7 linked regions of the Zea mays genome follow. The main gene of each other region encodes a partner of the protein of the gene in region 5 in a complex. Links are inferred from orthologs where the notes say so. Each region holds a gene or a part of one and is shown on either strand. Other genes may lie near its edges.

Region 1 (4,161 bases), on a different chromosome or scaffold from region 5:
TAACCAGCACCATACAACATATAAAATTAGCAATATTAGGTCTATTAAAATGGTTCTAAATATTGTAGATCGTAATGACAGCACTGACACCGGTATCAACTGGAAAACTAGGGCTTTTTAAGGAAGGCAGCTCATGCCGGTCTCCACTAAACCGACAGTCCCTACTGGCTAGTAACATCAGTTATTACGTACTAGTAACCCAGCAGTAAAAACTGCCAAAACTAGCCAAACTTTAGACACTCTTAACAACTAATAATTGTGAATTAGAAAACAAAACAATGGCTCAGTAAGTCAGTGGTAAGGCACTAAGGCCGCTCGGTGCGACCGTGCGAGCGCTACTACCCGAGTTTGATCCCTGACTGGGGCGACTCAGGTGTCACACGGGATTTTCATCAGAGGGGACTAAGCCTCTATGTGTGTGAGTTGCTCAGTAGGCACGTTCCAAGACTGCTTGGGCAGCCTCATCCGTGTTTGAGCATGAGGACAACATGTGTGCACCGTGCACATTTGAGTTCTTATATGATATGCTAGTGCTTCTGGCAACAACAAAGCCTTTTAGCTCCAATCAAGTTGGGGCAGTCCCAAAGAAAGCCTTTTAGTCCCATGCCTTCTATATAATATGGCAATGCTCCTGTTGATGTTTAAATAAATGTGAATTAACTTTTTAAAAGGATTTGCCTAGAGACATGAATATTTATAGACATTTTATGAGACAACACAAAAACCTGCAACAGATCTACTATACCCCGTCTTATTATCCATTTCTGGAAAAAATTCTTAATTCTTGTGCAATTGAAAATTTTATTGGATACCAAAACAAAGTAATTGAGATTCATTAGCCAGAATAGTTCAATTTAACTTAGTAATTATTATCAAATTCAGAAGACCACTAAGAATAAAGCATATGAGTCAGGAAAGAGAAGTAACAGAACTTACAGTAGACTTTGAGCTTATTGTTCCCGATATGGAGTTCAACAATTGTTGGCACCTAGCAAACTGGCTGGTCAATTCTTCAACCTAGATATATATAAAAAGCTTCTCTTAATACAGTAGCTATTGGAATTAGGATTTAGCAAAACGCTGGGAAAAATATGGTGTTTAGCTGGTATTCTATAAGAAATCAGCATGGAAGTACACAATACATAGTAGTAATTTTAACATGCTTCTGCAATTGCATAATTGCATAACTAAGGGTATGTCTTCCACTGGCTTGGTTTTGGCTATGGAAAACTGAACCGTGCAGACCCTGTCACCCTGGGCTGGTCCCAAGCTTCCTGTGCACCACCAACACTAGAGCATTGTTTGTGACCTGTCTCTTCTCTGGGAAGTGATTTAAGAATTACATCACATGTCAATTCAAACTCTGTATAAGAATATTCAGGCTCCACGCCTAGAAGAAGCTACAACTATTGTTTCTGACAAGATCATGCACTATGAGTACAAGAACATTGATCCATAAAACAAATGAAAATTAGTAAATGGTGATTCTTACCAGTGCATCGAAATTTTGGTCCCTTGTTCCTGTACCAATAGCATCGGCTAATCTTGTAACCAACTAACAGAGAACAAAATTATGCAAAGAAGAAAACTATCAGTATTTCACAATACATTCTAGTACTTTCTCAAAGAGTAAAAGGAAGAAGAGCCATCATAAAAGTGGAAACAAAGATTTGCTACTTGCAAAAAAGCCATTGGAAATAAGCCTAAATGTTAGATGCCAATACAGACATGTGATTGCCAGCTTAAGAAAACCTACAATACCTAAAGTGCCCTCATATATATTTTTAATTTATGTATTTCTTGTCAAACCAACTCGAGTGATTAGAATCAACATTTTCTCTGGCCATTACCAATGTTGCACGCTCTGACGCTTGTATATCGTTCATGTACACCTATAATATGGCAATCTTCACTACCGGCCAAAGTGACAAATCATGGTGTGAAGAAATTGCAATCGCTGAGCAACAAATACAGGACAAATTAATGACAATCTTTAATGACTAGCAAAATCCCAAGTTCAGAATTTTGAAATTCCGGTGCACAAAGGGCACACTCCAACAACATCAATGACATCACTACAAAAAGAAGGGTTCATTTGAGGGTATGTATCATCTATGCTATCTTAAACTAAGAGCAAAGGCCCCCAAAACACAAAACTCCACACAACTCCAAACACTCCGTTACTTACATGTAGGAGGTGGAAGTGGGAGGCAAGAGAGGCGTGGTGATGCTGCTGCGGCTGCGGTGGAGACATCAGTGTCTGCTGCGGCTGTGGAGACATCAGTGCTGGCTGTGGCTGCGGTGGAGACATAAGCGCCGGCTGTTGCTGCGGCTGCGGCTGATGGTACTGAAGAGCGTGGAGGTGGTGGTCGGGCTGCGGGGACGTCATGAGCCCACGGTAAGGATCGCCGTACTGCTGCTGCTGCTGCTGCGGGTGGTGGTGATCCATCTCTATCCCCAGTTCCCAACACCTGCGGGCAGGGGCTATTGGAAAAATCGAAGTTATTAGTAATTTAGTAGGCATAATAATACATGCATATACTTGCAATTACTCCTGAATCAGATCCGATTCTTAAGCTAGGTTTTGAGTGCTCGGTTTCGCAAAGCAGATAGGGGAGAGGAGGGACGGGCATACCTAGTGGGTGCTCGTCGCCGGTGAAATGGGCACGACGAAGGTCTGGGCACCGGCACCTGACGGCGGCGGCGGTAGCCTAGTGCTCGCCGGGAAATAGGGACCACGCGGGGCGTGAACTGTGAACGGCGGCCAGTCCGGTACTGTTTGGCCGACGGGGGCGCTAATCTCGGAGTACGGTGGCTGTGTCCAGCTGATATGGCCGTCTAAAGAACTGTTGTTGTACGATAGTCATACCTTTGTTTGTAGCGTTGGAGTTGAAATAGTGGATAGATATTAGATACGAGAGGAGATAGATAGTGTTTTTTAACCTTATTCATCTATAGATGGCTAAATAGATTGTCTGTCCAGCATTAATGGTGTTATTAGACACTATTAGTAAATGTGTCGTGATGTGTTAGTACTATTGTCTAGACACGGCACTATAGTGTCTAATCATGTCATGCCGACACTAACATCTAGTAGGGTTCGTGTTAGCCCACTTTAAAAGCTCAAAATATATAGATGATTTTTAAGGTTATATATAATTTTAAAACTTGAATATGTGTACTATTATAAAGTGGGTTGACTCTTCTGAGGCTCCCTTTTGGTAGGATTTTTGCATCACCGGCTTTCCTTCTGGCTCATCTGAAAAAAATAGTTTGATCCTTATTTTTAGTAACCCTTGGAGAACACTCTATTTAGTTAAAACACAACTACTCCTATTTTCATGGGAGGGTGAGTGACAAGAGAGAGTCGAGTCAGAGAAGCCTCCTTTTTAGGCTCTGGGCTTTCCTCGGTTTTTAGGGACATCTCCTTCCTATTTTTATGGAGAAGCCACGAGAGGAGCCCACCATTTGGTAGCCTTTTTGAAGAAGCTGTTGAGGGGCCATTAAAAGAGCTCTACCAAATAGAACTCTACTATGTAAATTGTCATGTACCTAGGAACAGGGTAACCAAAAGTAAGCCCACAACCTCCTTCCGGCCCATTAGCCGACCAACCCTCTGCCAAGCAAGCCTACGAGGCGGAGCGGACGACCAAGTCCTCCGTCGAGCAAGTTTGCAAGATGGAGCGAACGACCAATTCCTCGTCGAGAGGCAGAGCGGCTGACCAACTCATCGACGAGCAACCTCGCAAAGCAGAGCAGCCGACCAACTCCCCACTGAGCAACCCTTTGAGGAGGAGCGGTCGACCAACTCCAAATTGGGCAACCATACGAGGCGGAGGTCCCAACCTAACGCTATTAACCCGTGATGGCTACGACAAGACGCGTCATCATCAACCCACGTCCGGACATATGTGCAACGTACCGAAGGGGCGCCAGGAGGTCACTATCGACACGACTGAACGCCACCACGTACGCTCTAAGGCGTATCCCCACTGCCATGTGGGGTCAGTCAACCCAGTCATAGAAAAAACCTCAGCACTGGAGCCTCTACAGTGACCCGTATACCGGGGAAGGCAGCACAATGCGCCATACAAAGTATATGCCTACACACACTAGGTGACGCGTGATCGTTATGAGGGCAAAATTCTTACATGAGGGCAA
Region 2 (4,263 bases), about 87 Mb from region 5:
CAATCTTAAGTGTCATACTAATCTCCTGTCAACGTCTCGACCGATGGGTGCATCAATGACTTTTTAATGGGTGGTCTTTCCACAAAGGACATGCCACTAATATTGATAATGTTTACCATACGGATTTTGCATATCATAATGATATTTGTCGTTCCGTTTATATATTTCATACAATTTTTTTACTTCCGTCGCAACGCACGGGCACTCACCTAGTTGAAAAATATATACACATGAGATAAACTTCTTTTTGAGAAAAGAAATTATGGTTTGGATTTTTGAGAAATTTTAATATTGGTAATACTAGATTGTTACACCCTGCAACTACAAGGCAGGGCATTACCCATCAGCAATCATGCAACCAGTCAAACCAAGAGCAAGGTTGGCACAACGATGTGTCAGACATGGACAACACTAGCAGGCAAAACTGACTGCTCAAATGCTCGGCACGAAGAAGGCCACCTCATTAGCCACGCCCACTCATCTCAAAGAACGGACTTTGGCTGTCCTAGCAGCAAGAACGGACTTTGGCTGTCCTAGCAGCATTACAAGGTTTTGCCACCGCCACTTGACATGAGTGAGGCAGCAGCAGCGGCTGCTGTTGGAACGATTCCTGTCGAGTGTCCTGGTTTTGACAGATGCAGCAGCCTGCAGCAGATTTCCAAGGATTATTAAAACCAAAAAGGTGTTTGGTTCATTCTTATATGTTTTCTGATTGTTGCCTCGGAATTCAAGCTTTGGGGTACTTACGGGGCAAGATATTCACAGAACGCAGTGACAGCTGAAACAACATCATTGTAATTATCAGCAGCAGCAGGAGCTGTGATTTCCACTAGCTGTATGGCAGGAGTGACTGGCGTAGCTTCATCGGTTGCATGGAGCCTTGACATCTTGTTAGCAGATGTAACAGTGACAGTGATTTGGGCACCTCGGTGGAAACGAAATGCAAAACCGCTCTTCAAGAGTTCATGGTCTAGCTTGTACCCTAGGGTGTAGAAGTAGTGCAAGACGTTCTTGCTAGCTTTGCTCTCCACAACTGTACGAACCAGAACTGAGATTTGCTCCGCACCAGCACCTCTCATGGCACCACCAACATGTCTTATGGTCCTACAATCTTGTCACAATTAATGATAAACATAACAAAAGGTAGACTTTCAGCAGCTTGTCTCGGTTACCAGGATGGTGTGGGCTGAGCTAAGTCACACAACAAACGAACCTCCGATGGGACAACACCTGTATGATTGCAAGACGTCAGTTAATACGCCACATGTGTAGGAATGGAGGAGTAGACTAATCACAAACTAACCTAGATTGGGCCCACTTTTAAGGCAGAGCTCATGCACCCTAAAACGCTCTTTCGGGACACCAGAGAGTCCCTGGAGTAGAACCTCAAGAGCATCGACATGCTGCAAAATGGAAAGATCAAACAAAGGTTAAACTAATGGCAGAGCAGTACAACAAAGAGCAACTTACATTCTGTGCACAACACATAAACTAGAACATACCAAAAAATTAAGTTCCTCTCTATTGTAAAAGCACAAGGATAGATCATATGTTCCCCCAACTGTATATTAAATGTTACTATTCTGTTAACATGCTGAGAAGAAAAAAAACAAATGAAATCAAAAGCTCCAGAAGTAGTGCCTTAAAGCGCGGAATAAATTGTTGACATTTAGTGGTCTACATGATCTATCTATTTATCACTTCAATAAAATAAACTTTTGTTAGTATTTATCTGTGATGGAGTAAACAGAAAAGTGACCACCAACTGGCAACTATGGATAGTGGCCATACCTAAGGGAGCTCAACTGAACACTAAAATGAAGCTAGATTGTATGGTGCGTAAGCTCAACATTGTGCACTGTACATGTACATCAATATGAGATTGTTTTGTCCACAGCAACGGAATTCAATTAGTAACGAAATGTTCAACAACAAATTCAATACTATAAGTATATACTTACAAATAGATATTAACAATCTATACACCATTCAAAATACTTATCAAATCTAGATGCAAGCAGTGAGAGGAAAAGTTAATGTCTGATCTGCATAACAAAATAGACTGCACTAACGATGATGAAAGAGCTCCTATCTTTCAAATGTTAGTGGAATGCGTGAAAATCAAATTTTACATAAACCATCAGTGCCAACTTGCATTGTGGCACAATACCTGGTTCTCGATGATTCCCTGCACCACGCACTCCATCGATCTTCTACTGTCCCACAATGATTTTGCACCCAAAAAAAAAGAATCACGTTAGTGGATTTGTTATATGTGTATCAGGGGTGGACCAGTATGGCAGTAAAAAACAAAATTAGAAGTTAGTAGACATCAAATAGTTAGGTTAGAGTTCGGGAACTCGTTTTCGCACAGCGGGTAGAGAGAAGAAGGGGGTGGGAGTGGGAATACATTGAGAGCGTTCTTCGCCAGCGAATAGATCAGCGAAGGGCGTGGTGCCTATGGTGGCGACTGCGGTAGCCCGTCCAGTCGTCGCAAAGAGAGAGAGAGAGAGAGAGCGCGCGCGCACGCGGTGTGAAGGTGACGGATGCGGCAGCGGCGGCGGCGGCTGTAGCCCAGCTAGGGCCTGATCTGGGAAGAGGGAGGCTCGATAGGACTGAGGCACTGTCGGCGGTGCGAGCCGTGCGGCGCAGCGTCGACAGGAACAATGGTGGACGCGACGCGAGGAGGGAGACGGGAACGACCGGACGAGGGAGCCAGGCAGTGGACGGCTGGGCTTGAGCAGGGAGGTGGGCTTGAGCTGGGAGAGTTCACAGTCTCGTTTGGAATGATCCAAATTTCGTTTCGTTGACTAATCTTTTATTTTTTATATTGTTATATTTTGAATCAAATCCATTTAAAACGGACTGAAATTTGTTTTTTTGGTTAATAGCGAAAACGAAAAAAGTATCAAAATTTGGTGATCTCGGACAGAAAAGATAAACCGTGGGCTTGAGTCAGGATTGTTCAGCCTAGTCGCGGTGCGGGGGTTGTTCAGCCTTATTTGTCACTTTTTTTATTTTAATTTTGATAAGACCTAATAGGTTACTCTAGATATGTTATCACTTTACCTTTTTATTCCTAAATCACTTGATAGTTTTACTATTTCTTTACATGGTTTTGGGTTAATATTTCATTATATCCATGTTCCAATTATTTTGTTATTTTATTTTTATTCATGTCAAGATTATTATCTTTAATTGGAACATAGAGCTTAACTTGAGAAACATGTGTCACCACAAGAGAGGAATGAGACCCCTTGACTAACTAATTAGGAAAGCTAGTGGAAAACTACCTTACCCGAAAGGGGCAACGGCAGTAAGAGAGTTACATGCAGAGAGGTTCTCGGTTGATTTTGCTGCGATGGCGGTCAGACGGGGGATTCTTGCAAGTCGAAATCTAGTGGAACTTTATAAAGGCCTCGTAGTGTTGCCCTGTCTCGCTTCCTTGGTAGAGGTGTATGAGAGTCGCGATCCCTTGGTAGATGGGTAACATTACTTGTGGATACAGGGTACAGCCTCTGTAGAGTGTAAAACTGGTATACTAGCCGAGCTCATGGTCATGAGCAGCTCAGAACTGTCGCATGATTAATTAATGGAACTTAAATTCAATTTGTCATTTGCATTGCATGTGATTACTTATTAATTTTGTTCTATTATTTATTATGGTTTGGTATTTACTTACACTTAGTAACTGCTAATAAAATTTTGACCAACTTATAAAAGCAATGCTCAGCTTCAACCTTTATTTTGTTGATCAGCCTTACACTTCACATGAACTCTCACCTTTGGTGAGTTCATGCACACTAGTTTCCCCACAACTTGTTGAGCTATGATCATATGTGAGCTCACCCTTTCTGTCTCACACCCCCATAGGAGAAGAACAGGTGGTTCAGGAGGAGGCACACAATGAGGAGTTTGATCTAATCTAGGTGGCATCTCCCAGTTGACTTATTGGCGCTAAAGATGGATTTTAGTTCGATTTATATTTATCTTTTATTTTGTAAGACTTCCGCGATGTAATAAGTACTCTGATGTTATTGTGACATTTATCTCTATACACTCTGTTATTATATATGTTGTCTTCTTTGGCACATGTATGAGATGCATTCGGCTTTGTTCCTTAAATCCGGGTGTGACAGAAGTGGTATCAGAGAAAATGTTGACTGTAGGACGAAACCTAAATAGAAATGGACAAAACCCTTTCCTAATTACCTTACTCTGATTCATTCTATACTTATCTTATCTTGCTCCTGTCTCACCTTT
Region 3 (3,973 bases), on a different chromosome or scaffold from region 5:
GTGAGTCCTTTGTTCGTTTTCTTGTCATTCGCTTCGAGTTTGGCGACATGCTTTATCTGCACGCTTAAGCCAAAGCTTCTTCTGTTCCTCTTTTAACCTGCATTAGCGACCTTCGGCAAACATGAATTGGTTGCTCTCGGAATAAATGATAAAGTGGTTAAGATTAGTTGATTTTAATTAAGGACCTCCTGCAAAGGCTTACCCCCAACAATTGCTTTCAATGTACGGTAACGTTTAATATACTACGTATTGTGTATTAATAGAGTGATTCACTGATAATAACACACCCATTTGGTTACATGTCAAGCCAGATGACATGTCTAGAACTATCTAATCAGAGTCACAATCAATAGGGACAATCGTAGCAGTAAGCCAACACACCACTCAGCTCTTCCTACATTCAGTGGCGGATCTCCAACCGAGGCTGGGGCTGCCTGGGCTGCAGCCCGGTCGCGGCCCAAAAATCAGCGAATAAGCCCATCAGCTCCAGCCGCGCGACCGCGTGAACAGCCTCCCAGTCGTAGGTCGCTCCTCCTCCCTCTACCCACGAGCTTCAGGCCTCCAACCGCCCACGCCCCGACGCCCGGAGCACCGCTGCAACCCGCAGCGTCGCTCGCCCGGAGGCCGGACCGCCGGAACACCGCCGCTAGCCCCGCCCGGAGCACCGCCTTGACCACGCCGCTGTCCAGCCGCCACTCCGCGCTCCCTCCTTCTGCTAATTCGTGGAGCTCAGGTTTGTACACACGCGCTGAGAAGAAAGTGTGCTTAGCTATTAGCTTGTTCTTGCATTGGAGTGATGAGCCAGACAGCCAGTGATGTATGGCCTTGCCATAATGCCATGCGCGGTGTGCGGCGTGTGCCAATGCCCCTCCAAGCTTTCTGTTGGGGGTTCCTTGTTCTGTTGGGAGTTTGGGACGATGAAGGAATAGGAGGCCAAGAGAGTTTCTGCTAATCTGTGACAGATCATGCAGGAATAGGACGTCCCATGCGAACTGCGAAGCAGAAGCAACGAAGGTGAAGCTGTGATCTGTGAAGCAGACAAGCAGTGAAGGTGAAACATGTGCTATTGTTTGCTTTAAGTTTGATTTGAAATTTTGATTTGATTATTTATTTGGTAGTAATCCCATGCTTATAAGAATAGGATGGATAAATTTTTCATCAAGAACCAGAAGAAAGATGATTCTAATTCTAAAACAATTAGGATAAACGAGAGTCTTGTAAAAAAAAGACCACGTATAGTAGCTCTGGATCCGCCACTTCCTACGTTCTGTCCGCACGATTGATCGCGAGCTTCCCAACAACACGCGTCCAATAATGTAATTTTTAGAATTTATTTACTATACGGTCTGGGAAAACAATATTATTTTTTTAGAAAAAAATCCATGCCTACAATCTCTAGCCCTGGTCCAGATGCGTATGTCGAATAAAAAGGCCCATCCTGATCTCGACCCGATATCGATTGGGCCATTTCGGCATTTCCTGTTTTCACGCTTTGCTTTCGGTTTCGGGGTCGTCGTGTCGAATTGGGGGCTGAGGCCGAATTGGATCGTCAGAAGCTGGGGGTGAGGGAGGGATGGAGGCGACTGTGGACCACCTGAGCGCGGCGTACGACGACTTCATGGCGGCGGCGGCGGCTGTGGTGGAGGCCCGCGTACAGTCGGGCGGCGAGAAGAAGACGGCGGCCACGGACGCCGCGCTCGAGGCCTTCAAGCAGCGCTGGGAGATCTTCCGCGTCGCCTGCGACCACGCCGAAGAGCTCGTCGAGTCCATCCGCCAGCGCATCGGCTCCGAGTGCCTCGTCGACGAGGCCACGGGGTCCGCCTCCGCCGGATCCGTTGCCGCCCCCGGCATCAAGCCCATCAGCGCCGTCCGCCTCGAGCAGATGAGCAAGGCCGTCCGATGGCTCGTCATCGAGCTCCAGCACGGCGCCTCTGCTCAAGGGACCGGCGGCAGTGGCGGTGCCGCTACCCCAAATGCCGGCGCTGGAGGGCAACACCCGGAGGAGGGTGCCCAGTAGGTATGGACTATGGAGTTACTGAATTAAACTAGTAGCATCGCCCTTCTCATATGAAAATTGTAGCATTTTTCCTTCAATAGAAAACAAAGAACTTGTCGTTGCTGTGTTTCTATGAGTGACAGCATTAACCTTGCGTGTTGATATTTGCAAGAACATGAACTAAGGTGCCGTTTGGTTCATATATTTGTAACGTAATGGGTAATGGATAACGTTAAATCATGTTTGTTATAGTCCAACCGTAATCAGATACCGTACTAAAATTTGATACCAGCCTATTCAAATTTGTTACCGCCAGTAATCGAGCGTAAACTATTACCATTACCATTTGCGTTACATTTTTTGAACCAAACAGCACCTAAATCATTGCGATTTGCTGGCTGTTGTTTTTACCTTTCCATTTTGAGATATACTACTACTCAGCATTAATGTCTTTATGCCCATTGGTTATTGCCCAATCTTTACACAGATTGCTAAAATGCTGCTCTCCATAAAAAAAAATTATAGTGTCGTGACAAAGCATGAGAGGTATATAGATCTAATTACATGATGACCAGAAAAAAAAAACCTGGGGGTATAATGCTGCGCCAGTTTTAAGTCTGTACCTGTTTGGACCAGCCAGTGTATGGGGATTGGTTGTTGCAGTTTTTGATTTTGAGTCAACTCTTTTGTTGAGTGAAGAGATAAGGTTGGGAACTTGGGATCCCTGGTTTGAGATAGACAAAAAAACTAAAAAAGGGCTGATCCAGTGCTGGAGGCTCTCACACGAGTGGGGTCTAGGAAAGGGATGAGCTTCGAACTCACGACTTAAATTAGGTGCCGTTTGGTTCCTAAAATGTAACGTAAATGGTAACGGTAATGATTTGCATTCGATTACCAGGGGTAACAAGTTTGAATAGGCTGGTATCAATTTGTAGTGTGGTATCCAATTACAGTTGGACTTAAACAAACATGATTTAACGTTATTTGTTACCTATTACATTACAAACATATAAACCAAACAGCACCTTAGTTCCTTTATCGTTCTATAGATCCAAAGTTTTATTCACCACTGCTATGGTCCCTACAGATTCATGATATTTGAGTTAACAAAGCAGTACTGGTTTTCATTGTTCTCAGAGTATATTCACTAGTCATTTTCACAAAAGCACGAACTGAATTGAACAGTAATTTAGTAAGATGGTTACCAAGAAACCAGATATGCCCATCACTGTATCTCAAATGTATGTTAATCTATTATGTGCAGAAAAAAAAGATTTGACTATGCTACATGACAGTATGCTGATAAACTATTGGAAGTAAGCAGAAATGTGGAGATGTCATAATCTGTTTGTATCGATATTATAGGATCTGTAGACAAAGTACAATTTCACAATTTGATGGCTGCACTCAAGAGAATTGGCTGAGGACTATGAACTACTCCCTCCATTTCTAATTATAAGATTTTTTGGCTTTTCTAGATCAATAGTTTTTGCTACACACCTAGAAATATATTATGTATAGATACGCAAAAGCTATGAACCTAGAAATGCCAAAATGTTTTATAATTTGGGACAGAGGAAGCATTAGCAGAAAAAACATGCGTTTACATCCAACATGGATTAAGACGCGTTAACGCATTATCATACCAAAAACATAGATGATATGGTGAGCAAAGTGCATTATCATACCAACAACAGTAACATGGATTAAGACCACAACTGATTGTTAAAATTTGGCCACTGACTCAATATAAGCAGTGTACCTAAAAAATAGAGCTGAAATGAGATAATCTGTACAGAAACTTTAAAGGTTGTAACCAATGCCAAATTCAGAAAATAGAGCTAGATAAAATATTAGCTCCATAAGTATACCGGACTTTGATAAATGTAACATGCTGAATGATACTACTCCGTATCATGTGAGAAAAGGATCTGAGTATCTGGTCGATTAATTTAAGAATATATTAAGACCTGGAAC
Region 4 (3,617 bases), on a different chromosome or scaffold from region 5:
AACCCTTTTTTTCCTCTCACGAGAAGATAGAGTAAAATGAAGATAATAAGTAACTTATGTCAGCTTCACGTGATACCTATGGAGTCCATTAAAGCACAAAAACTGACACCTGTGTCCCAAACGTAGAAGCACGAGAACTAAAAAGGCCTACCCGTATGACGGTTAACACGATTAAAAAGCCTATCCATACGCTTCCAATCACAACTCACGAATATCAGTTTCAAACAAACTGGCCAGAGTGCTCACATCAATTTCCTAACCATGAGCAAGAAATCTGACCCAACATCATCTTATCCATCCAGGTATCAATCTTGACCGGCACGGTTTTTACAGTTACAAAAACATCATTTACTAAGAAGATGCAATAGAAAAAAAAAAGAAACATTAAGAACTAGTTTGGGAACTCAAATCTTCTCCAGGAATCTATGGGGTCGAGATTTAAGTTCCCAAACTAGCCCTAAAGAAAAGCTCCAAGCAATATTTTTTGTGTCCAATCACTCTGAACACAACTAGAGATGTCCTGCTAATACTAAGACGTCAAATGCGTCAGTCTCAAGTCCAGTGCCAATATATCATGTACAACAACACATATACCAGATCCACCAATGTCTAGATTAACATAGTACAGACAGAAGAAAGATGATAACGAATCCAAAAATGAACTATCCATCAGAAAGGGAGAAAAAGGACACGATTACAGTAGATGATACAGACAACCAATTCCCGAAGATCATTTTGCATCCCTGAGCAATTCCACCTTGGCACATTATTACCCACCCTAGCTATGTTACAGGCCACGTTCAAATGGGCTAACTAAAGGTCCATCAGAGTCAACCGCCACCATTTATACTGTACAAAATTGTCATCTGAGCAAGCCTCAGGCGAAACTGTCACTGCTACCAAATGTGTATTCCTTCACATCTACACGTTAACAAAGCCAAAGGCCATGCTGAATATGACAGACATCAATGGCCTTGATAGAGCTCATTCCAAGCAAGTTCATGATGCAGTCGAGCCTGCAGAAAGTGGGTCATCTCTTAGCTGTTGTAGACAGAGTTGAAGCTGCTTTTGGATCATCTCTGCAACCATTCGCAGCCTTCCTTGGCCTACCTCTCCAGCTACACCAGACCCATTCACAGTTTCCACAGCTCTTGAAACCTTCTGCTTACATCTTTCCCACTCCTCAAACTGCAACCAGCAGGCTCTCCCACCATGGCTCCCATTCATAGCAAGGAAAGCTATATGATTGTTGTCCCCAAAAGAATAGCGAAGTTTCACAGATACACAATATGGAAGCCAGGCAGCTCCTCCAGCTACATTCATGTGAGGAATAAGAGCATGGTCAAGTACAAATGTCAGGGCAAATTCTACTGAACTGTGGGCTCTATCATGATGAATATTACTCTTGGCTAAACTGCTGTTCTCGGTGTTATCAGACGAAGCTGATCCTGAGTGATTCTCCAAACAAAGCTCGATGCGAGCCCTCTGTGCAGTAGCAATGTCCCCATGAACCGGGGAAAGACCTTTCTTCCATGTAATCAGCTTTAAAAACTCGCGCAGAACCAAAATTGGTAATGTAAGCAAAGTGATAAAAGAAGCAACTCTAGAAGCATCATATGGTTCGGAGGCAACACGTCTGCTAAAGTAGTCACATATTTCATTGATTTCAACTGCTGCTAGCTCTTCCTGAGCATTGCTTTGAGCCTGCTGCTGCTGTTGCTGGTGGTGAAATCTTTTCACACTCAAAACTTGTAGAAGCAGTTGAACCCGATGTACACTTACTGCAAATACATATCCTCTGCAATTATGAAATCAGGTACCAATTTACTAGCAATCCCAAATGAAAATACTCAACTCAGGAAAAACAAGATGAGTCATTTTGAACACCAATTTTTCATCTTATAAGGCTAGCCTAAGCTCAACCAATTATGAGCTGATAGCATCAAATTAAATAAAAGAACACCACTTATATTCAGTAAACAATTAAGTATAGTCTTAAGGAATCAGTAAATATTTGACGCACACTAGTAACATGTAATAGATGAATGAATATATAATCCGAAGAGCAGCAGATATAAACAAAGTACTATTTCCAAAAGAAGGTCAGGGAACTCAATAGCGCTAAGCACCAAAGCTTCCATGCACAATAGAAAATTAAGGATACTTTCATGTAGATCCTCAATCTTAATTGCGCAGCCAAAAAAAAATGAATAGCATTTACTTTAAATATGATGCTAGAAAACAAGGGATACTTGCCAGTTTATATTTTCTTACCCGACATAGAACCGGAGTGCAGGCTGCTCTTGATCCAAATTCAAGAGAGCACCTTCATTGTCCTTTAAGATTGATCCTAGTATTTCTTTCAAAAGTTCAGGCAATTGTGCAAACAACCATAGAACTCCTAGGTACTTTAGGATCCCTCTCAGCACCTTTTTAAGAGCTGCCAAAGGAACCCAGCCACCACCATATCCACCGTCATCCCCCAGTCCTATGAAAGCTGTGTTTAGTTCACCTTTCATGTGAACAGGGAGACCAGCTCCAGCAGTAAGTCGCACAGAAGTTCCACTAATACCAGAAGCAAGAGCCGAAGAAGCCAACATGGCATTTCCTGCTCGACTCAAACTGGCTGCTACATGGTTAGCAACACCAGATGTTGGCCTGACCATAGAAACACCAGGGGTAGCATTTAAACGATTTGCACTAGGAGCAGTTTGTGGAACTCCTGCATTGTTATTTAAGTGTCCACTAGCCTGTGTAGCATTCATGAAGTTGGGTTCAAGAGCATTTAGACCCTGAGCAACATGTTCCATTATGAAAGGCCGGAACTGTGGGCATGGCAACGATCCACCAACTGAAGGTCCACCTTTAGGAGGAGTAGCTGGCTGGAGCCAAACCTGATCCCCAGCAAAGCAGCGCATGTCAACAGAAAATTTCTTGCGATATATAATGCGTATCCAGTATGGCCCACGAAGTACAACCGAAACATCAAAAGGCAGTAATGAACTGGGAACAAGCCCAGGTCCACCGCGTCCAACAGCTGAAAGCATGGCAGCAGCATGAAGGTTATGACTGCCTAAATGGGCAGATGCAGCATTTGAGGGGCCAGGTGCGTGATGTATAGTTGAAGATGAACCATTTACTAAAGGCCCTTGTGTGGGGATGTTCGGCTGTTTTGGCATAGAGCTATATCCAGATGAGACAGCAACAGGCATCCTTGCAGGACGAATTGCACCTCCAAGGGCAAGTAATGGTCCTGCTGTAAGCCGAATGCAATCCAAGAAGGATGCTACCTCTCCACCATTCACGAAATCCTCCAGAAACTGCATTTTTGCAAATATTGATTATGAGATAGCTGGCAAATAAAGGTAAGCTTTATTGCAAAAAGCAAGATGATTGAGCAATCTCACAGAAACTTTCTGCTTAAGCAGAAAGCATAAGCTTTTGTACTCGGTTTCACCTATTTATCAACAGATACTAGTGAATTGATGGAAGCCAATTGGAATGATAATGACCCATCTGCCACTGCCAGCAAAGCAGATCACAGGAATGTACAGTGAAACAACAAAAACGCCAGCACTCATTTATACTTCCAGACTATGAAATATTGATCCATTATT
Region 5 (2,934 bases):
ATGACATCATCAGTAGTAGTGGCAGAGTTAGTGCTCCTTAAGCAGAAGAGGTAGGCAAACGATTGCTTTGATAGACTAAATCTTGTATTTATCTTAAGAGTAGGTGCATATGTCAGCACCTTACATTCTTAGCTCCCTTTAGCACCTACATTAGCATAATAGCATCTACTTTAGCATATATATCTGCATATGCTGAAATCTCTTAGTTTTCAAGTTTGCTTCGCTACTTCTATATATACCTAAACCTGCTATGTTTTTGCGTAATGGCTTAAATGAAATATAAAATCTTGTCCCAAAACCTGTGTCTATCCCTAGCATGCTTTGCCAATAAGCAGCCGGTCAAGAATGAGGTATGGATCCAACTGTTGTGACATGTGGTGTTGTGAGGTGGAGTAGATAGGGTCTATTTGGACCTAAGTGGCACACTAAGTTTAGGGACCAAGATAACAAGCCGAGACAAGCCTCTGAACCTAAAAATAACATTTTAAAAAACTGGGACCTCGACGTCACACAAAGACAGGCTTGAGGACTTAAAAATGCATTTTCGGAGTTTGGGACTTGAATGACACCCTGGAAAATATATGTAAATTCTGACAAAAAATGCTGGAATGATGCTAAATGATGAACATAAACTTGCAGCAGTTATTGAGGTTGCATTGCAGGTACAGCATATGCTGATCCAATTCGAAGTGACTAACACCTTGCCATACAAAGCTGTTGACTTTAAATTTAGACCACTTACAAGCTCATAACGTAAATCTAAAGTAAAACTGAGACTAGCTCAGATAGTCAAGGACAGTGGATGTATCTCTGGGGCTCTGGGCCACACAAGTTCAAGTCCTCATCAAGGCAAATTTCGGTGCATATTCTTTAATTATTAAATTAAAAACACCTTGTTCCTTCAAGGTTGGTTGAGCATTTAATTTAAAGGAAAAATATACCACATATTTCTAATTTTGGAGTAACTGCAAAGAGAAAACCGAGTATATACCTTCATGAACAAAGGTCGAGCAAAGGCTAGACGAGGTAACAAGGGACCCAATATGCGGAAGGCGATTCTTAACATGGCAACTGAATTGACTGGCCGAAGGTGTTTGATGACAGTATGAGTAGATTCCAGCCACTCTTGTGGAAGATTGCTAAAAAAGGAATGCAGAAGGGCAACAATGTTACCTGCAACCAAAGCACAAACGACATAAGACATAATTGAGGCACTAGCATATTAAGTTAGAGTGCAGATTTTGCGCCATTGATAGCTAAAACACCAAACTGCAATGTTCCAAAAGTCAACATAAAAATCATGTATGTAATACACATAAAGTATAGCCACAACAATTCAGTTTGAAATTCATCCTAGATGCCAAGAAATAAAATAGACAAGCAGTCAACCTGACACTGTTCACCATGTGTTGATAGTGACACTTCTATTTTTTTAATCTCAACATCAAAGATGAATTTCAAACTGATTTATTGCGGCTACACTTAACTTTAGGTCTACTACATACATGATTTTTGTGATTATTTTGAAACATTGCAATATGGTATTTTAGCTAACAAGGACGCAATATAATTTTCCATTAAGTTAACTCTGATCTGATCCAGCTCATAAGACTAAAGAAAAATGTTCTACCAATGGCTGTTGATGTATTGTCTTGGGAAGCCCATGTAGGATCCAACAGTGCATATCCAACAGCAGAGTCAAGCTCTTTAACAGGCCTGGAACCATCAGCAAGCCACCAGCAGTCTTTTATGACTCGAGCTGCTTCTGAGTATAGTTGCATGTGGAATTCTGGTGGGAGTTGTGCCAGCAGAAGACCACATGCTTGAATCATCAAAACAGACAATTGTTGGCAGGAGTAACCACTCCTAGAAACAAAGTTAGTGGCATTGATGCCAGTTGCAGCACTGTTCGCTTGGTTGGGACCTGAGGATTCAGCAGCCCCTGAAGGAGAAGTTGGCAGCCCAGAACTTTGCCCCAAACCACCTGACATTCCTTGGCCACTATTTGACTGTATAAGTATTGCTTGTACATGTGCTATTATTTGGACCAAAGAGGACACTATTTGAGCAGCAGGCACAGGAAGTGAGAGAATCTCAATAGCTGCTGTTTCCAAAACAAGCTGTGTATACGACCCAGGATCCTGATTCTGATAAAATGCCCTCTGGCCATCGGTGTTACCAACTCCACCAGGTTGTGAAGATGCATGATGTTTGTTGAAAGTCGAGCGTGTTGTGTCTGCTGGGTTTGATTTCGATTTGCTACTTAAAGGAGGTATAACATTATTAACGAGGTTTAGCAACAGGTTGGCAAAGTATTCTGGTGGTGGACATATTGAAGAATTTGATGACACTAAATATTTAGCAAAAGATTCTGAAAAGGGGGTCTGGAAAAAGCTCATAGTTAGCAAGTGTTAGGCACAAAGTGTTACAACTAAAAAAGTAAATAGGTTTACCTTAGTGCTAACACCCAGCAGGTTGAGGATCCTACCAATTAGTTTGATTGGAAGATGACCATAGAAATACGCAAGAATATCACGTACAAATGTAAATCTTAGCGGGTGGAAGGCAAGCAAGGAAGAATAGAATGCAAGAACTCTGTCTGCAATGTCAGTTGCATCATTCTCAATAAGCCTATAAATAATCAGTGGAATAACAGGAAGCAGACGTGCAGCAATGTCATCGAAGAAGGGTGGATAGCTGCATCAACAAAACTAGAGGACATCAAGATTCTATTACCACCATTGAAAACAAAACAATATGTATCTCAGAAGAAAACCTCACTTTCTGTTTGGTAAGTTGACAGCCAATAGTAGCTTTATAGTTTTGGAATAGGTGCAGCATATATTACAATAATTAGTTTAAAGCTGGGTATAAATGGACAAACAAGCACTGACCACAGATAAAATAATCCTAATATGAAACCATATTGGCCAA
Region 6 (4,216 bases), on a different chromosome or scaffold from region 5:
TTGATGTTTACATTCACCCATCAGTTCATCAGATCATGACAAAGCTCGAGTCCCATGGCTGCCGTTTTTATCAAAACTTTTCTTGGCTATTTAAGAGGTAAGGCGAATAAAATACCACAAGCATAGACAGTTGTACTTTTTTCCTTTTGCATAACCCTAAGTGCTTCTAGAACATTATCTTAAATGTTTGCATTAGAGAAAATACACAGAATATTCTATGATACATTGGTTATGTTACTGGCAAAATCTTGAGCAATTATTTGTAGCTCCCCAAACCCAAATCCCACACAAACAGGAATAAACCAAGGCTTCCTCCATAAGCTTGAGTGAAGTTTATGAGGTCATGAGCCTATGAGATGAAGATCTAGTTTGTTATTTGACTAATATATTTGAAAACAGATTACTAATGACCAATCAGCAAAAAGATGAATTCATCATTTCCAAATGCTCAAAAATAAAGACCTGAAACAATTCAGTAAAAGAGTACTTCAAGTTGAAAAGACATACATGTTTTCGCGTGCCAATGATAGGATACGAGTAATTACTTTATCGCGAAGAAGATGCTCAATGAGCTCCATAGTTGTTACAGTGTTCATCTTCTGTAACTTTTTGATCTTCTCAGTTCTTTGTTCAGTAAAAGTTCCTTCAAATGTGCTCACATCTTCAGGCCTTGTTGGCCATTGAGCATTCTTCTCTGGAGTTAACTCTAGTAGGCCCTCATCATCCAGAACAACATCAATCAACTGCCATATAATACAAAGAATGAAATGCACAACAAAAACCCCTGGTTCACATGTAGAGATGCCAAATATCTTGGAAAGTCTAAGATTCCGCTCTATTATATCCATGATCCTGCAAACATTAGAGAGGCTTTAGCAAGGATCTCTTATTGCTCCAGCAAATTTAACACTGCAAGACAGGCCCTTTTTTCAATTGCATTTGAGACTTCTATAGGGATAGAGTGCATGAATAGATAACAGTGCAAGGAACAAGCTTAAAAACCACATGGAAGCACATACACTCTTACTTCCAAAAAACAATTTAAAGTTATAGAGCAATAACAGTGCAAAGTATTAGGAAGTGAAGAACATAAGTAATGTATAAAAGATATATAAGAAAATTTCCAGAAGAATTTCGGCAATAAATGCCGCCTTGACAAATTCAAGAGAAGTTGCATGCATTACTGCAAGACAAGTAGACTTTCCATCATATAAAAGTTGGGGCCCTTAGTTGGAAATGACAGATATGACCACTAATCCACTACAGAGACATCGCACAACAAGGTGTATATACATGTGTAAACCTTATTACAATTACAAACACCTGAAACTGAAATGCTTATTTTAAGGCCATTAAGATATGACCACTAATCCACTACAGAGACATCACACAACAAGGTGTATATACAAGTGTAAACCTTATTACAATTACAAACACCTGAAACTGAAATGCTTATTTTTAAGGCCATTAAGAATAATGCTAAATTACATTGAACACTACACCTATTACTCTGATTCTCATTCCAGACCACTGACTTGAGCATAGTGTTAAGAAAATACAGGGAGCAGTCAGAGAGGGGAAAGGCACACTTTCTGAAATTTGCTGCTTTCATCTGATGATGGAAGTTGAACCCATGTCTTTTCAAGAGCTCAAGGTAGAGTCTATACTCCATTGGCCTGGAAAGCCGGTGAGGAATTACCCTGCAGGACCCGAAGAACAAACGAAGTCCATAAGAATAAACATTGAGAAAAGTCCTAACTCCATCATAAGGTCACACACCACACAATCCAAGCACGTTGCACGACAGCAATACCAGCCAGTGAAATAATTAGTACTAAGTGGGATTTGCCACACGCTAATCTAACTACTTTTCCAGTCCCAAAACATAGGTCAAACTAACCGTGTTGGCTATTACAAGACCCTGTTTCTCTTGAAAAAAAAAACTGGACGAGGATTGCAGTGAAGCCCTGATTAGCCTACCGACTGAGTGTCCAACTGCTTATATATTCTTAAAACAGGCATTTCTCCCATGGTGTGATCTACCCACATTGTCATTTGGCAATGCATTGACACATGACACTGCCACACAGCGTATTTCCGCCCCCTCAAATTATCGGGGCGAAGCACGTCAGCTTCCTGGTAAAACTCGTGTACGGGCAAACACCTGACCGGACACGTCGTAAAACTGCTTGCGTGCATTCGAGGTGCAACTGATTCGATTTAGATCCCCGACAGCTAAGCGCTGCATTCCGCCATTCCGATCCTACCAACCGCCACGGACCACGCCACAGACACAACGCACAAGCCGACGCCACGAAGCACCGGACCGCACCTGGTGGAGAGGAGCGCGAGGAGGAGCGCCGGGGACGCAAGCCGCGCCGCGAGCGCGGCCTCCGCGTACTTCCAAGCGGCGGCCGCCGGGGCAGCCCCGCCACCGCCGCCGCCGCCGCCGGGGAACAGCGCTCGCGCCAGCACCTCCGCGAGCCCCGCGGACCAGGGCACGTCCTCACTCTCGCCCGCCGCCGCAGCGGCCGCCGCCACCCGCGCCGCCCACTCCGGCGGCGGGCGGGCCTCGGCCTGCGCCGCCTTGGTATACTCCGCGGCCCACTCCAGCCACGGCGCGGAGGACGGTGGCGGCGCCGACGTGGCCATGGCCGCGCGTGTTCCCCCCCGCCCGTCAGTGGCGGTGGGTGCTCCTGCCGCCGCGTGGAGTGCCGTGCCGGTGAGGAGAGAGAGAGAGAGAGGCTGCTGGAGTGGTGTCTGCTGCAGCCCTGCAGGTGCTGTGCTGCTGGGTTGGTTTGGTGGTGGTCCGATCGCCGATGATGCTGATGGCGTCCCGTTGGTGTAACCACCTCTCCCCCCAGTCCCCCACCGCACCACCTCGCGGTGGGGCCGCCGCTTCAGGATCTTCTGCGTGACCGAGCTTTCCAACCAAGAGAAAATGGAGTCGCCAGGCTACCACTGGCCGCAGCGGATCCTGGAGGTACGTGTGGTCCCACACCAAGTGGCGTGGTGGTGCCATTGCCGTGATCCAGCCCCCACCCGTTGACACGTGGTCCCGGCGCCCTTGACTTCGTCGCTCGCGGTTTGGAAAAAAGCTGCTGCTGCAGCCCGCGCGCGGCGGGCCCCGCCGACCGACCGTCCGTCCGGCAGCCCAACTCGCGGCGCGGTGGCCACGCCGGCCGTCGTCCTGTTCGGATTGGCTGGGTACTGTGGCGATGCGTCAGGCTCGGCCCTCGGAGTTGGGCCGTTGAGTTCACGCTCACCTACTACGGCGTCAGTGAGTGAGTGGGAACTGACAGTGACACAGCCTGACCACTTCACCTGCAGATATGGTACTACTTTTTTCTGTCTCGCTCTCCGCCAAACAAATCTCTCTCTCTTTTTAGTACTAGTAGGAGAAGACGGTAGGTATGCGTGTGTTCCGAATTTTTTGCATTTTGGTCCTTCATCGGAAAAAAAATCACATTTAGACCCTAGAAAATTTTAATGTCATTTTTGACCATTTACTCGGCGCCGTAGCCTGTGGCGCCGAGGTAACACAGCTCGGCGCCATAGGCTATGGCGCCGAGGTACGTGCTGCGTTGGCACAAACGAATGTCGTGGGGCCGACGTGGTACCGAGCTCGGCGCCATAGATCATGGCGCCGAGCTCTGTTCTGTATAGAAAATTTGTCTAGCTTAATTGGTAAAATACAAGACTCTTAACCTTGTGGTCGCGGGTTCGAGCCCCATGGTGGGTGGTTTTTAATATTTTTTGTCTTTGTCACTTATTTGTTTTTTTTGTCCATATTTTTCGTTTATGTCGCTGATTTGTTTGTCCTGATTTATTTCTCATCCAGTTTTATTTTTGTGACTGATTTATTTATTCGTCCAAATTTTTTTATCCAGCGAGCACAGCAGCTGTGTGCCACAGTGCTCATAAGCCGTCAACTTCTCCCCTTGTTTGCTCAGCTAACCACAATAAAAATCAAATGAGAACACTCTTACTTCAATCGTGATCAAATAAAAATATTATATTTTTATTAAGTTCTTTTGAACATAAATTTTAAATACATAATAACATATTCCCAGTAAAAAGAAGCACACATAATCATCTTTTTTTCTTCTGCACTAAATAAAAGTATACTCCATTATATACTTGTCTCATGGATGATATATTTTAGAATTTACTGCATATACAGCTGTTGTGCTCGCCGGATAAAAAAAAGCTGGAC
Region 7 (3,595 bases), on a different chromosome or scaffold from region 5:
CTCATCCAATTATCTCCAATCCATATGAATTGTGATGACAAGGATTATGTCCTTAGGTCTTGTTCATTTTATAGCAAAATCATATGGATTAAGGTGTATTGAAATGGATTGAGAAAGATTTTGACTAGTAGTGGATTACTGAACAACCTGGCAGTGCACCTTTAGGAACGGAGATAAAACACAAAGTGTTTTTTTTCGCTTGCTCGTGTATTCAACGTAGCAACTGTGCCACTTGGCTCGGCTTTTTGTCAGGAGAAGGTTCTGTTCGAGCTGATCCAGGCACAAATGGAGTAAAGATAGAAAGGAACTTGCGAACATGGCGGCCATCCAGAGTAGGCACATAACCCGCTAGGCTGACTCCAACAGTTCACCCAAAGTTTACCCATAAATTCACCCAAAGTTTACCCATAAAGACAGGAAGCCGTTAGCATTCTATGTCGTTTTATGATGGCAGAGACTCATTTTGCACAACAACAGAGACCATGGGGCAAGTAAAGGTACACAATCAAACATAGATAAAGTGGGCTTTGTTCGTGGCTTCCAACCTTAAGAAACCAACAAAAGGCGATTGCTAACCATGGCGTCAGATTCTAAGCACATGTACACAGTTTTATAGGGCATAACATAACATTTGGTCACCTAGAGGTTCATGATCACTACAAGGTAAACCGCAGAATCGCACTCCTCACACCCTTTCAAGCTCCGTGATGTGCTTGCTCAGCTGCTCCTTCAGTTCCTTTTGCCACCCTTCAATCAACTTCTTGTGCTTGGCAATGAGCTCAGACTTGCTCTTCAACTCTTCCTCCATTGTCGTAATCTCCTGTGCAATGCAAAACCGAACATGCCAACGAGATGATAAATATTGGGTGGGTATATGTATCCCAAATTCCTAATTAAGACCAGCAACTATGCACCTGTGATTCTCTCAACTACTGCAAAGGCATTTTTTTACAGAAACGTGTGCATGAAAAATTCATGAGCACAGAAGGTGTTAGGTGTATGAATGTGATTGGGTGTTCCTTGGGAACATTACTTTGTAGAAGTGACGATTCAGGCAGGCTACCAGTTCTTTCAATAATGAACACCTCAACTTCGAGTAGAAATATAGGAGTCTTTGTAATAAAGCTTATACTGAGTGTAACAAACTGCCTGTAGCAAGTAGCACTATGTGATTTATAAAGTTGGCTATTCCTAAGTATAGTGCCAACCACAAATGATCACAGTACTTGGGATGATCATATCATGTGAAATGTCAATCCTATCACCAATGAAAACTTTTAAGGGAGTGTTTGGTTTGAGGAGTCACTCAATCCAAAATGATGTGGTGTATAATGAGTCCATTCCTCAAATTTGCTGGGATGACCTTATTTCTCATATTAGTACTAACTAACTATAAGGAATGACTCCATTCCTTATTTCATTCCACAAATCAAATAAAAAAAGAGAAGTGAGAAGACGATGGACTAGCTCATTCCTCAAACCAAACACTTTATAATTAATTCATTCTCCATAACCAGTCCCCAATTTAATTTAACTACTATCCTTGCCGCACTCTTAACTATACGAGGATAAAGTAGAAATATACCTTTCGAAGCATCTCTTCTGCAGATGGCGGTTCCTCACGCTGCAGGCTGATGAAATAAGACTGGAGCTTCTTGGCAGCCTCCATGAAATCCCTTGCGTGCCTCTCAACATCAACTGCCCAATTTAGTAGAGACTACAACACTTAGATACCCTGTTTGGCAGGAACGAATGAGAAAATGCAATTAAATTTCTCTAATAAGCATTGCACACTATTAAGTCGGTATCTAAAAATGTGATTTACTTCTTTAATAAGCATTGCAATGTGATTGCCTGATTGGTACAGTTGATACAAGTTGAGTTCTCAGTCTAGGACCTAAGAAACCAATCGATATACAATTTCCTGGGCACAAGAAAGATGCAAAATCTTCCTCTAGAAAGAGCAAGATCCCTTTATCCATCCCGTAGGCAAAACAACGAACATGTGGCGCGCGACGGCGCCATTAACCGACCGAACACCATGAGACTTTACTGGTGTCGAAGCCGTGCCGGATCAAAGTGAAGCTACCTCTAGAGGAGGAGAGTGGGGAAATGATGGGGGTCGGCCGTACTCTGGTGGGAGGACTGGAGGGAGCGGTCGACGGCCTGGAGCTCGCGCGCGGGGAGGCACGGCAGCAGCGCGGCCTCCAGCGCCGCCACACACGCCAGCATGTCCTCGAGCCCACCCGCCGCGGGAGTCTGCTGCGTCGGCGGCGGGGGCGGCGTCTGCGCTGGCGACTGCGACGGCGTCGGCTCAGCCATGACGGAGAATGCGGAGAGAGGACCCGGAGAGATTGGGAGCGCTTGGGCCTCCGATTTGCTATTGACAAGGAGGAACTTTCCGTTGGATTGAAGACGCACGGCTAGGATTGGTTTACAAATGGCGTGTTCTGCGCCTGGATAGGCATAGGCTCGAGGGCTGAGGCTGCCTTGGCTGAAGGAAAGCGCATAGTTTGTTCAGGCTGACAATTTTCTGAAATATTTTTTCTTTTTTATAATAGCACACTTCTTCATATTTTGGTGCCTAAAATTTAGGCAACACTCTTATATACCACTGATTGCTAATAAAGGACCATTTGGATCCTTTTATTTTCAAAGAATTGGAATTTACTCCCTCCAGTCTTCAAATATTTGATGTTTTGGACATGACCTCATATACCAAGGAGCTATTAAATAGGGTTGTTATTTTCCATAATACCCCTAATAAATACGCTTAGATTCCACAACAAACACATGAAGATGTTAGCCTAGATGGTTGGGTCCTAAAGAATTTTACACTAGGTCGTGAGATCAAACCTTCACGATAAGAATAATTAAGCATATGTGGAAGAATGTGTGAACCACTTATATCAAGGGTATATTAGTCCAAAATAAGCTTCAAATGCTTCAACATCAAGCATTTGCTAGTCCAAAATAAGCTTCAAATGCTTCAACATCAAGTATTTGCATCCAAAGTGAAAATCACTTAAACATCAAGTATTTAAAGACTGGAGGGAGTATTTAATAGAGTAGGTTATTTGATTTGAATTTGATATTACACCACTTTCCAAAGTTTAGATATAAACTCATCTCAAATTCATAAGATGGGGTGGAAATTGATTTTATGTATTCAATTCTACGTTTCTACTCTGTAATTTATAACACACTCTTCTACTCACTCTCCTATAGTAGAAATGTAACATATAAATATCTCTCAAATATGGCCAACACTAATATACAAATATACTCACTATAAAACCATATTAGTTTAATTGATTTATGTCTAAATTACAATTATTATATTAGAATTCAATTCCAAGGGTCCAAAGGGGGTCTAAGACTATAATTTTATTGTTTACCTTTATGTTATAACCTATATTTTTTCCCTTAGCTAACTACTAAAATAATTGCAAAATGTTAATGGTCTTTATGTCAACACAAATCAAAATCTACCAAATTTATGATTTTGTTCAATAGATATTTTATTCTTAAGAGTAAAAATGTAGATTATGTCTATATAAATTACAACACACTAAAAACTAAAATTCAGGTACCT

The links.
Region 1: Mediator of RNA polymerase II transcription subunit 23 (region 5) and uncharacterized protein LOC100276155 share a complex: the UniProt entries of both Arabidopsis thaliana proteins name them as parts of the mediator complex. The link is inferred for Zea mays from reciprocal best matches to the Arabidopsis thaliana genes AT1G23230 and MED9.
Region 2: Mediator of RNA polymerase II transcription subunit 23 (region 5) and mediator of RNA polymerase II transcription subunit 18 share a complex: the UniProt entries of both Arabidopsis thaliana proteins name them as parts of the mediator complex. The link is inferred for Zea mays from reciprocal best matches to the Arabidopsis thaliana genes AT1G23230 and AT2G22370.
Region 3: Mediator of RNA polymerase II transcription subunit 23 (region 5) and Mediator of RNA polymerase II transcription subunit 32-like share a complex: the UniProt entries of both Arabidopsis thaliana proteins name them as parts of the mediator complex. The link is inferred for Zea mays from reciprocal best matches to the Arabidopsis thaliana genes AT1G23230 and MED32.
Region 4: Mediator of RNA polymerase II transcription subunit 23 (region 5) and mediator of RNA polymerase II transcription subunit 14 share a complex: the UniProt entries of both Arabidopsis thaliana proteins name them as parts of the mediator complex. The link is inferred for Zea mays from reciprocal best matches to the Arabidopsis thaliana genes AT1G23230 and SWP.
Region 6: Mediator of RNA polymerase II transcription subunit 23 (region 5) and Mediator of RNA polymerase II transcription subunit 33A share a complex: the UniProt entries of both Arabidopsis thaliana proteins name them as parts of the mediator complex. The link is inferred for Zea mays from reciprocal best matches to the Arabidopsis thaliana genes AT1G23230 and RFR1.
Region 7: Mediator of RNA polymerase II transcription subunit 23 (region 5) and Mediator of RNA polymerase II transcription subunit 28-like share a complex: the UniProt entries of both Arabidopsis thaliana proteins name them as parts of the mediator complex. The link is inferred for Zea mays from reciprocal best matches to the Arabidopsis thaliana genes AT1G23230 and AT3G52860.

What each region holds. Positions count from the first base shown.
Region 1 is NC_050097.1:1,837,529-1,841,689, forward strand, and holds the start of uncharacterized protein LOC100276155, read right to left. Parts: upstream 2,801-4,161; 5' UTR 2,636-2,800; intron 2,485-2,635; 5' UTR 2,450-2,484; coding exon 2,189-2,449; intron 1,556-2,188; coding exon 1,493-1,555; intron 1,018-1,492; coding exon 937-1,017; intron 1-936. UniProt on the Arabidopsis thaliana protein: Component of the Mediator complex, a coactivator involved in the regulated transcription of nearly all RNA polymerase II-dependent genes.
Region 2 is NC_050100.1:126,532,858-126,537,120, forward strand, and holds mediator of RNA polymerase II transcription subunit 18, read right to left. Parts: upstream 2,801-4,263; 5' UTR 2,411-2,800; intron 2,217-2,410; 5' UTR 2,207-2,216; coding exon 2,171-2,206; intron 1,404-2,170; coding exon 1,304-1,403; intron 1,231-1,303; coding exon 1,173-1,230; intron 1,105-1,172; coding exon 748-1,104; intron 646-747; coding exon 543-645; 3' UTR 279-542; downstream 1-278. UniProt on the Arabidopsis thaliana protein: Component of the Mediator complex, a coactivator involved in the regulated transcription of nearly all RNA polymerase II-dependent genes.
Region 3 is NC_050101.1:142,578,410-142,582,382, reverse strand, and holds Mediator of RNA polymerase II transcription subunit 32-like, read left to right. Parts: upstream 1-1,454; 5' UTR 1,455-1,573; coding exon 1,574-2,017; intron 2,018-3,260; 3' UTR 3,261-3,473; downstream 3,474-3,973. UniProt on the Arabidopsis thaliana protein: Component of the Mediator complex, a coactivator involved in the regulated transcription of nearly all RNA polymerase II-dependent genes.
Region 4 is NC_050097.1:176,292,247-176,295,863, forward strand, and holds the end of mediator of RNA polymerase II transcription subunit 14, read right to left. Parts: intron 3,321-3,617; coding exon 2,275-3,320; intron 1,799-2,274; coding exon 1,000-1,798; 3' UTR 501-999; downstream 1-500. UniProt on the Arabidopsis thaliana protein: Component of the Mediator complex, a coactivator involved in the regulated transcription of nearly all RNA polymerase II-dependent genes.
Region 5 is NC_050100.1:213,163,240-213,166,173, forward strand, and holds part of Mediator of RNA polymerase II transcription subunit 23, read right to left. Parts: intron 2,698-2,934; coding exon 2,454-2,697; intron 2,385-2,453; coding exon 1,631-2,384; intron 1,174-1,630; coding exon 992-1,173; intron 1-991. UniProt on the Arabidopsis thaliana protein: Component of the Mediator complex, a coactivator involved in the regulated transcription of nearly all RNA polymerase II-dependent genes.
Region 6 is NC_050097.1:165,234,306-165,238,521, forward strand, and holds the start of Mediator of RNA polymerase II transcription subunit 33A, read right to left. Parts: upstream 2,801-4,216; 5' UTR 2,653-2,800; coding exon 2,333-2,652; intron 1,701-2,332; coding exon 1,590-1,700; intron 853-1,589; coding exon 508-852; intron 1-507. UniProt on the Arabidopsis thaliana protein: Component of the Mediator complex, a coactivator involved in the regulated transcription of nearly all RNA polymerase II-dependent genes.
Region 7 is NC_050103.1:84,916,337-84,919,931, forward strand, and holds Mediator of RNA polymerase II transcription subunit 28-like, read right to left. Parts: upstream 2,469-3,595; 5' UTR 2,323-2,468; coding exon 2,133-2,322; intron 1,699-2,132; coding exon 1,586-1,698; intron 821-1,585; coding exon 686-820; 3' UTR 501-685; downstream 1-500. UniProt on the Arabidopsis thaliana protein: Component of the Mediator complex, a coactivator involved in the regulated transcription of nearly all RNA polymerase II-dependent genes.